2 linked regions of the Astyanax mexicanus genome follow. The protein of the gene in region 1 purifies or fractionates together with the protein of each later gene. This does not show direct contact. Links are inferred from orthologs where the notes say so. Each region holds a gene or a part of one and is shown in the gene's direction. Other genes may lie near its edges.

Region 1 (7,075 bases):
GTGTGTCAGCCAGTCTGGCTGTTGCTGCCACTGTTTAAGAACACACACCCATGTGACCCCTTATCACTTAGTCAGTTCTCCGCCCCCTTTGCACAATGTGACGCGAGGGTCAACGAGTGTCTGGACAATCCAACAGTGTGTTTGGGGAGGGGGGTACATCCTGTACCTCATTTACTTCACATTCAACATGTGCGATTCTTTTGCTATAATTCAACAGTTGAAATGTAATAGAATAGAATACAGTCAGATCAAGAAACTTTTTACAGTGGGGTTTTGCCAAAACGTTTTAGAAAAAAATGAAAATGATTAAGTTGTTGCAACTAGTGGACTGTGTTCCTGGCAAAAAAGTCATGCTGCTCACAGATTCACCAACATGTATAGAAAACTTCCTCAGCCAAACAAATGGGTTAGCTGCAGTAGCTTTCTTTCTCTGTTTGCACCTTGACTTCACATCAAGCTGCACCAATCCTTGATCCAAATGTAAATGAGTCTGGCCTCCTCCAATGCCTAAAAATGCTTGGCTTCATAACAGGCCCTGATGTGGCTTCTGTCTTTAACAGTAAAGCAGCATTGCACTGCCCCATAAAGGAAACACTTTACACGTGATTTTCTGGATAAGCTAAAAGTGAACAAATCATGTGGCCTGAGGAGGTAGTTACCAGATATAAAGTGTAGTTTACAGCATGAAGAGCCTGTGTAACACCTGCACACACTGCACCTTTTAGATCAGCCTCTCCGGAGTACTAATAAGCTGACTCCACCTCTTCCATACACCTGTAAGACTTCAACTGATTACTTGGACTATTGATACTGGTTCTCTTACTGTCTCCAGTTGTAAGATATTGCCACTCTTATCAAGCATTATATACTTTGTTTGTTATTCTTGGTTGTTGATCTTTGCCTGCTCTTTGACTATGAATTTTGCCTTGTGTTCTATTTTATTTTATTTTTTTATCTCTACCTGTTTTTGACAGCGATTTTGGCTGGTGTTTTTGCATAAATAAACCTGCCTTGCATTTGCATCCAAACTATCCTGGTTGCTTCTTACAGCCTGGATTACCAAGGATTACCAAGGATTACCATTCAAATTTTACATGTGTATTTGTTTCATATTCATTCCACCAATTTTTTATTTGCTCAGTATTTTAAAGGTTGAAGGTGAAAGTTTTAGTAGGTAGTTTGAGGAGACTTGTGGGTAGTTGGAGGTTGGAGGTAAGAATGGAGGCTAGTTAGAATGCAGGTCTTGAGTGATTGGTATTTGGAAGTAAGGGTGGATGTACTTAAATGAAAGTGCTTGGTAGTTGGAGATGATAATTGGTAGTTGTGGTAAGAGTGGTTGGTAGTTATAGGTGAGACTGGTAGGTTGTTGGGGTGAGTTGGGTGGGTAGCTTGAGAAAAGGTGGTTGGTAGTTGGAGGTTTGAGGTGAAAGTTGTGGGTAGTTGGAATGAGTGTGGTGGGGAGTTGGGAGGTTGAATGTGATAGTGGTGGGGAGTTGGAGGTTGAATCTAAAAGTGGTGGGTAGCAATGGGTAAGAGTGGTTGGTAGTTGGAGCAGAGAGTTTTGATTAGATGAAGGTGAGATTGGTGGGTAGTTAAAGGGTTTAATGTGGAAGTTTTAAGATGAAAGTGTTGGGTAGTGGGAGGTGAGAGTGATGGGTAGTTTGTGGTGAGAGTGGTGGGTGGTTGGAGGTGAGAGTGGTGGGTAATTGGATGTGAGAGTGGTGGGTAGATGGAGGTTAGAGTGAAGGGTAGTTAAAGGTGAGAGTGGTGAGTAGATGGAGGTTATGGGTAGTTGGGGTAAGAGTGATTAGCAGTTGGAGGTTGGAGGTGAAAGTGGTGGGTAGTTGAAAGTGAGAGTAGATGGAGGTCAAAGTGGTAGGTAGTTGCAGTTGAGAGTGGTGGATAGATGTAGATGAGAGTGGTGAGTAGATGGTAGTCAAAGGGGTGGGTAGTTGGAGGTGAGAGTGGTGGGTAGTTAAAGGTGAGAGTAATGGGTAGTTGGGGTAAGAGTGATTGGCAGTTGGAGACTGGAGGTCAAAGTGGTGGGTAGTTGCAGTTGAGAGTGGTGGGTAGTTGGGGTAAGGGTGAGGGGCAGTTTGAGGTTGGGGTAAGAGTGGTGGGTAGTTGGAGGTAAGGGTGGTCAGTAGATGGAGGTGAGACTGGTGGGTAGTTGAAGGTGACAGTAATGGGTAGTTTGGGTAGGAGTGATTGGCAGTTGGAGGTGGAGGTCAAAGTGGTGGGTGTTTGCAAGTGAGAGTGGTGGGTAGTTGTAGTTGAGAGTGTTGTATTGGTAGTTTAGAATGGTGTGTTGGTTGTTTGGTAGTTGTAGATAAGATTGGGGGTTTACCTGTGGTTTGGTGGGGTCCGTGCTGAGAAAGAAGCGGAGCAGCTGGAGTTAACAGCAGTGCAGAAAGGGTTGATGTGTGTGAGTTTGAGAGAGGGCTGTTATGATACAGCTCAGCGACTTTGCATTGCTAATGAAGAGCAGTCACGCTGTAGCCGCTCCCATGCTACCATTAGCATACAATGGCTGCTTGTACTGTTCTTTTTACCATTCAGATCAGTCCGCTGATACACACCCACCACAGCACAGAGACTAACACTCTGACGCACATCCACACACACACACCAGTTATACAGTGGGACTGCATGTTTTAGACATAAAGCAGGGCACGCGTAAAAAGAGAGAGAAATCATAAAAAATGGACATCTTTCAGAGAGAACAAAAACAAGCAATGACAACAAGCCGCATGTTATTTTTTAGTAAACCATTAACTGGTTTACATTATTATTTTATTTTTCATCTTTTCAGTTTAGGGAGGAGCAAACGTGCTGCATTCCATTTTGAACTTGGATGTTGGACGTTCCAAGTAGGAAATTTAAAATATTTTCTACCTGGAAAACTCAAAGAGGGTTACTAACCCTGAGTTCAGAATCCAAGATGGCTGCACTGCTCACCAACAGTAGTAACTGCAGTAGTACAAGTTGTAGTAAATGTCCAAGTCTTTTTTTATAAATATTTTAAAATAGTACACAATTATTGCACAAATTGCTGGTCAAAAGCTAGTTAACGAGCTAGCCTGCCAACATTGGGTGTGTTGTTTTTTTTCTGGATGCCTAGCTGATCTTGAGTCCGGGAGACCCACTGCCATGCACATTGTAATGGTTTTTCTGCTGTAGTACACCCAACTGAACTCACTGTGAATGAACAGATTCTCAGATGAGGAGAGATTAGAAGATGTTTTAAGGTAAACAGTGCTGTAAAAGCATTGCTTTTGGTAAAATTGCTGTTTGTATTTATTGTAATGTTAGTGTTTTTACTGAGCTGATAAACACTAACTTCACAGAAAGAAGCTTTTTCTTTACTGAAATTCCCACAGGTGCCTAAAACATTTGCACAATACTGTTAACAAATTATACTTGAGGAACTAAATCTTTAATTACTGGAGTATTATTTTTTTCTCCTGCCTCTACTTTTGTCAATGCATATTTTCAATGAGTATAATAATACACTGATACATTTTTGAGTGCTGCATCATTACTCATTAAAATTAAAAAACACGCATCTGTCCTTTGACAGCTGAAGTTGATTTTACAATAGTGATAGACCGACTAGTGACCTTTTGTGCAAAATGGGTTGAAATATCCTAATGACTTTTGGGTAAGTATGTTTAGAGAGTTGACTGAAGACATGATGTACATGTACTCTAACTTGTACATTTATGTGCTTGTGCTGGTGTTGCAGCTAAATATATTGTAAATGCCCTTTAGCCTAAATATTGAAAATATTATAAACAATATGAAATTTAAATGTCTGACTGCTCTCTGTTATTATTCATAACACTACTACTTTTACTTTCAGTACTTGAGTTGTACATTTTAGAATAAACTACTTGCAATATTTAAGTACAAAAATGTTGAATACCTTAGTACTCTCTGCTGACAACTTGTGGAAATGCGGATTTTAAAATAGATCACTCTGTGTGTAATACATGTATTTATGAGTTTCACATTTTAAGAGAGAGAGAGAGAGAGTGTTGAGTTGAGCTGGGGTGAGCTGAGGTGAGGTGAGAGGGAGAGAGGGGGACTGTGGGTAAAGATGGCAGCTTCCTGTGTGTGTGTTGATCTGCTGTAGCTGTGGTTGTGAGGAGGTCGGCGGATCTAAATGCTGGTTTGATCGCTGGATTAGTCGCTGGTTCCCTGCAGGACTCGGTGATTCTCCTTTTTGATGGACCCGGGCTCTAACGGGGAGTCGCCGGGCTCCAGGCAGCCCAGCCTGGACTCACTCTGCAGGTACTTCCGCCCCTTACAGCCAGCAGCGAGCTAACGCGGCTAACCGCTAATACTGAGGGAAAAACACAGATTACCTGGAAAAAACACAGCGGAGTTCACAGAAACAGTTTAAAACCCACTACTGGAGAATATTTCTGCTACACGGAGAAACACTAATGAGTACTAGACCCCGGTTAACCGGGAGGTTTCCGCTGGAGCTAATTAACTAGTTAGCTAACTGAGCTAGCTAACTGATAATGTCAGTTTATTTACATGTTCAGCTAACTATCATTGTACCTATAGCAACACTTATAGGTTAGCTAACTAAGCTAAGCTAGCTAGTGTTGACAAGTAGCCACTCCATTTAACTGTCGTGTCATTAAATCAATTACATTGTACCTCGTTAAGTATCTGCCACAGCTAACTAAGTTATCTGTCAGTGGTGTAAAAGGCACATACACTTTGTATCTAGCTTCTTTAATAAACGTAACTAGATACCCAGGGTGAAATATTACTCCAGTAAAAGTAGCTAAAGCCCCCTTAAATACAGAATATATATATATATATATATATATATATATATATATATATATATATATATATATATATATATATATATAAAACAGGTTTTAATATGACTTTTATGCCCTGTCATGTTTATAACAAGACTTTTCATTAATGAAAACCGTAGGTACATTTCACTTTGGGCTGGCCCTAAAATAATATTGTGATACTTCACAGTATTTTTGCGATAGCGATGTGACGTTATGTATACAAAACATTGAATTAAAGAAAAGTTGATTTCAAGAACAAACTACTGCAACACAGTGAATATTACATTTAATTTGGTGAAATTATTGCATACAATATGAAGTGGAAAAGCCCTAATTGAGATTGTAACAGAAGTCAATGATCCAACATGTAGTGATGCTAATACTTTATATATCCAGGACTGACGGAGAATAGTGTGAATTTTCCACTTTGCTACAAACAACAATAACAGTTGTACCCTGATAGTCCATTTGGGCCAATGGTATTTAAAAAATTGGGGGATATTTTTGTGTATAGTATGATATGGCACACTCCTAGCATCACTCTTGGTTCACCTGTTTTTTATTAAAATAGTTTCCAATAGGGAGAACCAGGTGAATATAACAATTTTTTGCTTGGTCTTGGTAAATAGGTCTTGATATATTTGCAATTTGAGGTAATTTGGATTGCGTCTCCCTGTTCTCTGTGTTAACATGCAGACTGTGTTCATGTGCATTCAGACAGTTCATACAAAAAGAGAGGAAAGACTTTTAAAGCTGGATTGCTCAAATTTGTTGGCACAGAACATGTGTTTGTGTATTACATTTGTAATTCCAAGTTATTTATTCCACAGCTCCTCCACATCTCGGTCAGATCGGTCCTTTCAGACCAAAGGCCCATCAATCTCTTCAGAGCAAAACTCCAACAGTGATCTTTCACCCCAGCTACGGGTGAGAATCATAACTATTAGTTCTTCATTATATTTTAAATAGGATAAATAAATTAGGAATAATAATATGTATATTTTATAAGTAGAGCTTTTCTAAAGCTCATTATTGTTATTGTTATATTGTTATGTCCTGAATTTTTATTTTTAACTAAAATGTGTGTTTGTATTTCACAGGTGAAGGGAAAGCCTGCAAAGGTAGTATTAGTTTGCCTAGTTTACACATTAATACACAAAACAAGCTCATATTGTTTGAAATTATAATCTCTTTCTCCCTCTCCCTCCCTCTCTCTCTCTCTTTCTCTCTTTCTCTCTGTCTTTGTCTCAGACATTCAGAGACTCAGGGAAGGATGATGTTGAGCTCTTGCCAAAGGAGGTGGTGCAGGACGTGGGTGAGGCACTAATAAACATTACTTTAACAGATATAATTTTAAGTATTCTGGGTTAAGGCTGCTCTGAAACACCAGAAGCACCATTGAGGCTCAACACACTTGGAGGAGGACACTAACTGTTCTGTAACAGCTTTCAACAAGATATGCTATCTGACACTTATATTTTAAAGATTGTAATAATTTCTGCTGTTTTAGCACTTTAAGAAGATTTTACAATTACAAATATGCAAACATGTAATTTATTAGAGTACTGTTTAGGTAAAAGTAAAGTGTAATTTTGGGTATGATTTTAAAGTAACCCTTTTATGACCCTGTTTTAAGGTCTGCTGCATGTGGTCTACTGACCTCAGTTCTGTTTTTTTTTTTTTTGTGTCTAGGCAAAGATGTGACATACATCTGTCCATTTCTTGGAGCTCTGCGGGGAACACTTACTGTTACCAACTACAGACTGCTCTTCAGAGGAATTAACAGGGTAATACACATAATCATGAACTGCAGATACTATCAGCACTTTCACTACTTCTAGTTTGCATTGGACCACATTTAAAACTATTGCACATTCTCCAATGTGACTGTTACACACATTAGGCCAACAATGCTAAAATGATATACTGTGCAGTCCTATTACAAACTGCATTGTTGTGACTTTTGTTGCTTAAAATGTATGTACGTGTATATATATATATACTAATATAAGATGTTCACTTTGTATATTTCTGACCCTGTGTTGGTTTCAGATGCCATTTATGTCCATGATGAGAGCCATGTAAACTTTATAGGTTCTTTATGACCGATCAAGTAGCAGTATGTTACTGTGTTACTGCAGCTTTAAGTGTGTGTGTGTGTGTGTGTGTGTGTGTGTAGGAGCCTGGCGTTGTGCTGGATTTGCCACTAGGAGTGATCAGCAGAGTGGATAAGATTGGCGGCGCGTCCA
Region 2 (7,419 bases), on another chromosome or scaffold:
CTAACATAGGCAGTTTGATATGTCTCCAGTTTAGTTTAGCATTTTTTAATGTCTACAAGGGATCTATGTAGAGCTTAGATTTTCTGCCTGAACCCAACTTGGGTCGGGCTCTAGAAAATAGTCTGAGATGTAGGCATCTGCTTTTTTAATTATATATTTTTTATATATAAAGCTCTGGCGTGATAATCACAATATAGCTACGTAACCAGTTTTTATCGTTAACCAAAACGAACGAAATAACCAAAACTGAAAGTGAAAAAACATTTTTTTTAACTGAAACTAATAAAAACGGTAATTAAAAGGAAAAAACATCTAACTGGAACTGTACTGTGCGTTTATAAAACAAATTGAAACTACTGATAGAATACCCTTCGTTTTCGTGTTGTGTAGCCTGAAAGTCTTAAAGGCTAAAGGCTAGCCAGCAAAAACAGCTTCAATACGCTAGAGCATTTTAGACCACATACCACTAATGACCCAACTACAACTTCCAAGTACCACCTACAAGCCATTTCACTGAAACACAGTAAGATAGACATGTAATCCACATATAAATGGTTCATGCCATATCCTTTGCCAATATTTCTACACCTGTTGTGTGAGCTTGCCAGTGTCTGTCTGTATGTTAGTTTGATTAGGTACGTTTCTTGATTGATTATTGTTTCTGGTTAAAACAATATTCATACTGAGAATCTCAGAAAGATTTAGACAGAGGAAACAAGAGTACCAAGCAGTGAACTGCAGTGTTTACTACCTGATTTAACTATGAAATGGAATGGAAAAAATGCAATCAACTGTTGATTAATATATCATATCTTGTGGCGTACCACAGGGTTTAGATCTAGGACCAATTAAGTTAAAAACTGAGGTTAATAATTATAAAACTGTACATATGAGGGTGAAGGACTGAAGTGTAGCTTACATACAGGTTCTAATAGGTAAAGCACTGAACACAAATACATGTAATGTTAAGAAAATTACAGGTGAAAATTACTTAATAGATTTCAGTCCTTAATATTTTAATGCAAGCATTTTCTGTTTTGTGAGCTATGATCTGGGGTTGCTGCAGATGGTCCGGTCTAGGTTCAGCAACAGTATGTGCTGAAAGAATGAGGTCAGCTGACTACCTGAATATACTGAATATGGACCCGGTTATTCCAGCAATTAATTTTTTCTTCGCTGATGACACAGGCATATTCCAAGATGACAATGCCAGGATTCATGGGGCTGGAATTGTGAAGAAGTGCAGGGTTCAGGGAGCATGAAGTCCAGACCTTTGGGAACAGCAATGAGAATCTTTGGAATGTGCTTTAAATCACATCATCAATACAATCAAGATTTTGTGGAAATTTTAATAAAGCTCTCTGGACATGAGTAAATGTTTGTGAAAACTAAAGGCGGTCCTACTAAATATTAGCATGTGCCCTTTTTTGCAGAGGAAGTGAATATTGAAATTATTAGAATAAAATTGTATAAATAAGTAACTTATGAGTTTACGTATGTGTTTATTTGTCTCATACTTTATTTAGAACTTTATTTTACGTGTCTTTTGTTGGTTTATTATTTTTGTCTAAAATCACCCTCAATACTCTGAGCTGCTCTGAATATCTCGTGTGAATAAATGGAATTCCTGTTTATAGTATTTGGACTGTATTGGTTGAACATTCCTCTTTCCATGTTTTTGATCAACAGCATAATCTGAGCATGTTGTTCAGGAGGAGGAAGGATATGTGAGGAGAGAGCGTCCTGCCTGCTCACGCCGGCAGTGGACAGGAAGAGACCGTTACTGCTAACGTCTGCAATGGAAAATGACTCTGAGTAGCCCTGCCGGGGACCTTTTTTCTTTAGAAAAAACAAATGCCAAAATATCCTTTTACTGTCTATTGGCAACACTGTGCAGCAATGGTACTCAACCATTGAGTAAATGAAGAGACAATGTTTAGAAAGCAATACAAATCTTTTGAACATCTCAACAAAATATGTGCATTAAATGGAAAAACCTTAAAATCTTTCAAATGGGTGACAGGCCCACACATCACATATCTGCCTTAGACATGAATAACTCCATGCTGAGTTTGCTGTTATCTGGGTTTGTAAGAGTTTTTTGGTAAATGAGTGCATTTACGGGAGTGGTGAAAAGTAAAGTAAATTAGACTCCCACATACAGTGTAAAACATGCTAATTCTTACATAATGCAGCTTAAAAGTGACAGTCCATAAGTTTGTGGTTAGAAAGTTTTAAGCTTGTTAAACACCCATCTTGTTTGGGTCTGAACCAAAATAGCAGGTTTAAAAGGGGCCATGAACCATGGTCTGAACCAAAGGACTAGAGTTTGGTCCAACCAAAAGAGGTAGTCTGCTTAGATCTACTGAACCATGGTCAGATTTGTCTGCTGTGTGAAAACAGTTTTCTAGATGGTTCAGAATTTTAGACCAATTACAGGAATTTGAGTAGGTAGAATTTACCACTTTTAACTACATGTTGACAAGCCATAAGCTTCTGGGAGAATGTCCTATGGACAGTTGAGAAAAAAATGGGTCGTTTTATTTACGCACATCAGCTCAATGTTTACAGACGGAACAATTAAGCATGTATAGAAAAGAACACTGTCCCTACTGTGAAACATGGTGGAGGAGGCTCTGGGGCTGCTTTGCTGCATCTGGCACAGGGTGTCTTGAATCTGTGCAGGATACAATGAAATCTCTATCAAGAGATTCTAGAGAGAAATGTGCTACTCAGTGTCAGAAAGCTTGGTCTCAGTCGCAGGTCATGGGTCTTGTAACAGGATAATGACCCAAAACACAGAGAGAGCTAAAAGCACACAAGAATGGCAAAGAGGAAAACACTGAACTATTCTGAAGTGGTCTTCTATGAGCCCTGAACTAAATCCTATTGAGCATCTTTGGAAGGAGATGAAACATGATGTCTGAATAAGTCATAATTTTCAAACCTGAGACAACTGGAGCAGTTTGCTCATGAGGAGTGGGCCCAAATTGTGCATCAAAATATTAAAATAAGGGTACCATAATTTCTGTCCAGATCTGTTTCATGAGTTTATTTATTTTTGTAATAATTCTGTTGAAGCATGGTAAAAAAGCAATGTCTGACTTTTTATTTGTTCATTTTCAAAGAATTTTTATTTATTAATTGTCAGATTTTATTTTATTAATTCAGAGGTACCAACAATTTTGTCAGAAATCAGATAATAATATAACATCGGGGAGGAAATAGGACATAAAGATTCAGATATCCTTATATTTAACAAGCTGGGAAAATACAGTTTGATCAGTACTCTTTTATACTGACCTTACACCTAATAATTTTCAAGCGATTTCACTGTCGCAGACAAATTTCCAGAGTCTTTCTAGAGTCGAGTTGTGGTCGCCTTATCTCGATTGTTCAGAGTAAGGTGGTTAGGATTGAAGGTTTTAGTCAGTCATTTTTTTAGTCCTGGTGTTCAGCTAAAATCAACTGTGTTTAATGTTATCGTAAGTCTTAAGATATTAGACGTGATGACGTGAACAGTGTCAACCAATAGTAGAGCAACAGGAGGCAGCAAGGCAAGACTATTTTACATGACTGTTTACAAACGATTTTAAAAATAAAACACATTTTGCAGTTAATATGCCCTAATATGGTTCTTACTTTAATATGTACAGTATTTTAAATACAGGTAGCGCTTTAATGTCATCATTGAATTAAAATATATTATTGTGCACTACTTTGTCTTATTGTGCTGTGTTATTTCTGATACAAACAAGTATAATAAATACACATTTTGCAAGAATGTTCTTTATTGCTATGATTCTTTGCTATACAAGGTTGTAGCAAAAAGGGGGTTTAAAAAATATCAAGACTAACAGTGTGGCAGAAAAATAAACTGTTGATGGGAAGTAGTCTCTGATAAATCAAAGTATTGATATATAAACATTATTTGTAATTTAATATGTAATATGTATTGTATATTAACTCCATCTTAGAAAGAATCTAGTTGCAGTCTTGCAATTAGTGATCCCTAGTCTTTGCTAAATCTTAGCCTGTGACTAAAAAGTCTGTCTTTAAATATTTGTCTTTAGATGTGACAGGGTGTCAGACTAGTCTGTTAAAAGTATTTTTTAGATTCGTGTAGCGTATAAACAGCATAAGCTTGTAAAGCTTACTATTTTCTCACAGTTTTCTGTCTGTCAGTGAGAAAAATGGCTCGGTCTCAATGAAGGGCGTGGCCGCACTCCACACGGCGCGTTATTCGCTCCCCGCTGAGGAAGTGCCGCCTGAGTGGACGCTGGGATTTGATTGACAGCCGGGCGGTCCAATGAGGAGGCTCGGCTCCTGCGCACCAACAGCTTGGTGAATATTCGGCTGTGAGGAGGAGCCAATCCGGCGGGCCGGGCGCGGTTTAACAGGTTACTACTCTCCGAGCGCGGAAATCCTCCCGGAGCTCCGGCAGCGAGTCCGAGCGGCCGCGGGTTCACACCTGACCGGATCCGGCCCGCGATCAGCAGCGCCGCCGCGATGTTGAGTTTAGGAGGCGGAGGAGCGAAATCCAGCAAACCGTCCTTCGTGTCCTACATTACTCCCGAGGTGAGCGCGCCGTTACCGCTGCTAACCCGACTGACATTAACTAACACTAACATAACATTAACTAACTAACACGGCTAACTACCCAACTACCGAGCTCCGGTGTTCTGTCGAGTTATGCTACCCACCGATAGGTGCTTTTTACAGGACTGCGCATGCGCTGAACTACACTTTTTTGTAATGTTTTCATGTTTTTCACGATAATTCCTTAAGTTTTTATTGTGAACATTAAACAACCTGATTGAATGTTAAAACACTGCAAATAGCAGTTAACAAAATAATAATAAACTATAAAACTATATAAAAATACGTTTTGTAATCACATATTATATGACCTTAACATTTTACTTTACCTAAAACAGTGATTTAGCCTGGCCACATATCCTACCTAAGCTTCTTGCTGAGAGTATTTTCTAATATGGCTTCTAATAAGGTGCTTTTTTGGTACTTTTACCTTTTTTTTATTAATTAAATGCTACTAGTGCAGCGCGGTTTGACAAGGTAGCACAACTCGACAGAACACCGGCTCCGATCCAAACACAGGAGAGAAGTGACCGGGGGGAGTGAACACGCCGCGGTTTGGACAGCAGCCCGAGCTGCCGGAGGGGTTAAGGCTAGTTTAGTTTAGTTTAGTTGTGTTTAGCGAAGCTGCAGATAAACCCGAGTTTAACCCGGGTTTAGAGGAGTATTAGAGGTGTGTAAAGTGTCCTACAGAAACTACAGTTATAGCAAGGAGTTTATAGATGAGAACAGTCTGACTGAAACAGGCTGTTTATGTGGTTTATACACTCCTAACACTCTCACACCCAGTTTATCACTGACTGACTGACCCACTGCAGCTTTATATATAGTAAACAGCTCACAAGACTCATTCACTCACTAACTTACTCACTTACTATAAATACAGGCCTGTTATTAAAACGATATTACTTTCATTTTAAGACCACTTTATGCCACACTTTATGATACCATGGTAAAATAACAGCATAATAATGCATTAACACAATTACTTATAAAAACTGCTGTTCATTCTTATTATTATACATAATAAAACACTTTTTAAGATACTGGGATTTGGGTATAATATTTATTTAAATCCAATATTTATATATCCTAAAGTTTAGCATAAATAAACAAATCCAAGTTCTTTAAACAAAGTCAACATGCCATCTCTCTAAGTAAACACTACAGGCATTACTGAGCTCAGCAATAATGACTGAAACACACCGTCTCATTCAGTGTTTTTCAGTGCTTTATTTCTTTCTTTAATTAAAAGACATTAAATATTAAAGATCTGTCCTCAAAGCTAAATGTGCTACTTAGAAAAATCTAAAGTATAAAAACATATTCTGTTTTGTTTAACACTTTGTTTACAGAATAATTCCAAATATAGCTTTAATGTCTTTAATATTAATTTTACAAAATGAAAACACAATAAATGAGAAGAGGTGTGCCCAAACCTATGAATGGTACTGCATATTCTAAATAAATGTAACATAAATAAAGAGAGAGAAAAAAAAGAGACCATTTAAAGGTGAAGATGGATGATCACAAACCATCACACCGAGATAACTTATCCAAAAGCAGTGTGTAAGACTCGTGGAGGAGAACATGCCAAAACGCATAAAAACTATGATTGAAAACCAGGGTTATTCCATCAAATATTGATTTCGAAATTCTTACAATTTTATAAATATGAACTTGTTTTCTTTGCATTATTTGAGGTTTAAAAGCTCTGCATCTTTTTTGTTATTTCAGCTGTTTTTCTTTTTCTGCAAATAAATTCTCTAAATTACAATATTTTTATTTGGAATGTATGAGAAATGTTATCTGTAGTTTATAGAATAAAACAACAATGTTAATTTTTCTCAAACCTATACCTATAAATAGCAAAATCAGAAAAACTGATTTAGAAACTTAAGTGGTCTCTTACTTTTTCCAGAGCTGTATTATATATATATATATTTACAATATTATTATTATTATTATTATTATTATTAATATATATATATATATATATATATATATATATATATATATATATATATATATATATATATATATATATATAAAATAACAATTGTAGAATGTAAAACAGGAAGCAGCTCACTGCTCAGGATGCCACTGTTCCCACGGGATGTCCTTAAGTCATCTCTATGTAAATAAACAGGCCAGCTGTTTTTCGTTCCCTTCTTTCTCTTTATGAATTCATTAATTCTATTTAAAACCTAATGATGATTTTTTTTTTTTTTTTAAACCCCTTCAGGATATTTGATATATTTGTCATTAAATTAAGAGGTGCAATCTGAAGGTTTTGCTTTGTGCCCTTTTTCCTTACTCGTCGTTTTGTAACCACAAATAAAAAAGTAGTCTTAATGTGTAACTTTTTCTTTATGCTTTAAGAAAATTGTGTCTTTTGCTATTTTAGCATATATTTTAAACATGTTTTCCTTAATGGAGTATATTGCAGGCAATTCTGTCTTCTTCTCTCCTTTTCTGTTATAAAAACATGATAAATATGTTTTCCTGAGTCTGTCTTAGATTAATAGAATTTAAAACACAAACATGTCATCTGGTAACTCATCTCTCTTTAACTCAGAGTCTGCACTTAGAAAATTGCTGAATTTTAAATGTACTGGTAGTTTAAATGATGATTTAAAAATGCACTGTGACAACAAACAATGCAAGGCCTGGTAGACCACTAAAACTGTCCTCATCAAATAAAGAGTTTGGTACTGACTCATCATGCACCACTCTGTGTAAGCCTTGTGATAAATGCACAGGTAACACACAGTGCTACTTGACAGTAAACATAACATATACTGTGTGCTATATTTACCAGAA

What was found.
Region 2: the proteins of mtmr2 (region 1) and mtmr12 purify together in Homo sapiens (affinity purification with mass spectrometry; 5 studies listed by BioGRID and IntAct, with this or other methods). This does not show direct contact. The link is inferred for Astyanax mexicanus from reciprocal best matches to the Homo sapiens genes MTMR2 and MTMR12.

The regions. Positions count from the first base shown.
Region 1 is NC_064408.1:38,192,749-38,199,823, reverse strand, and holds the start of mtmr2 (myotubularin-related protein 2), read left to right. Parts: upstream 1-4,068; 5' UTR 4,069-4,228; coding exon 4,229-4,293; intron 4,294-5,656; coding exon 5,657-5,753; intron 5,754-5,926; coding exon 5,927-5,947; intron 5,948-6,077; coding exon 6,078-6,141; intron 6,142-6,518; coding exon 6,519-6,613; intron 6,614-7,005; coding exon 7,006-7,075. UniProt on the Homo sapiens protein: Lipid phosphatase that specifically dephosphorylates the D-3 position of phosphatidylinositol 3-phosphate and phosphatidylinositol 3,5-bisphosphate, generating phosphatidylinositol and phosphatidylinositol 5-phosphate.
Region 2 is NC_064429.1:14,740,004-14,747,422, forward strand, and holds the start of mtmr12 (myotubularin-related protein 12), read left to right. Parts: upstream 1-4,398; 5' UTR 4,399-4,509; coding exon 4,510-4,578; intron 4,579-7,419. UniProt on the Homo sapiens protein: Acts as an adapter for the myotubularin-related phosphatases. Regulates phosphatase MTM1 protein stability and possibly its intracellular location. By stabilizing MTM1 protein levels, required for skeletal muscle maintenance but not for myogenesis.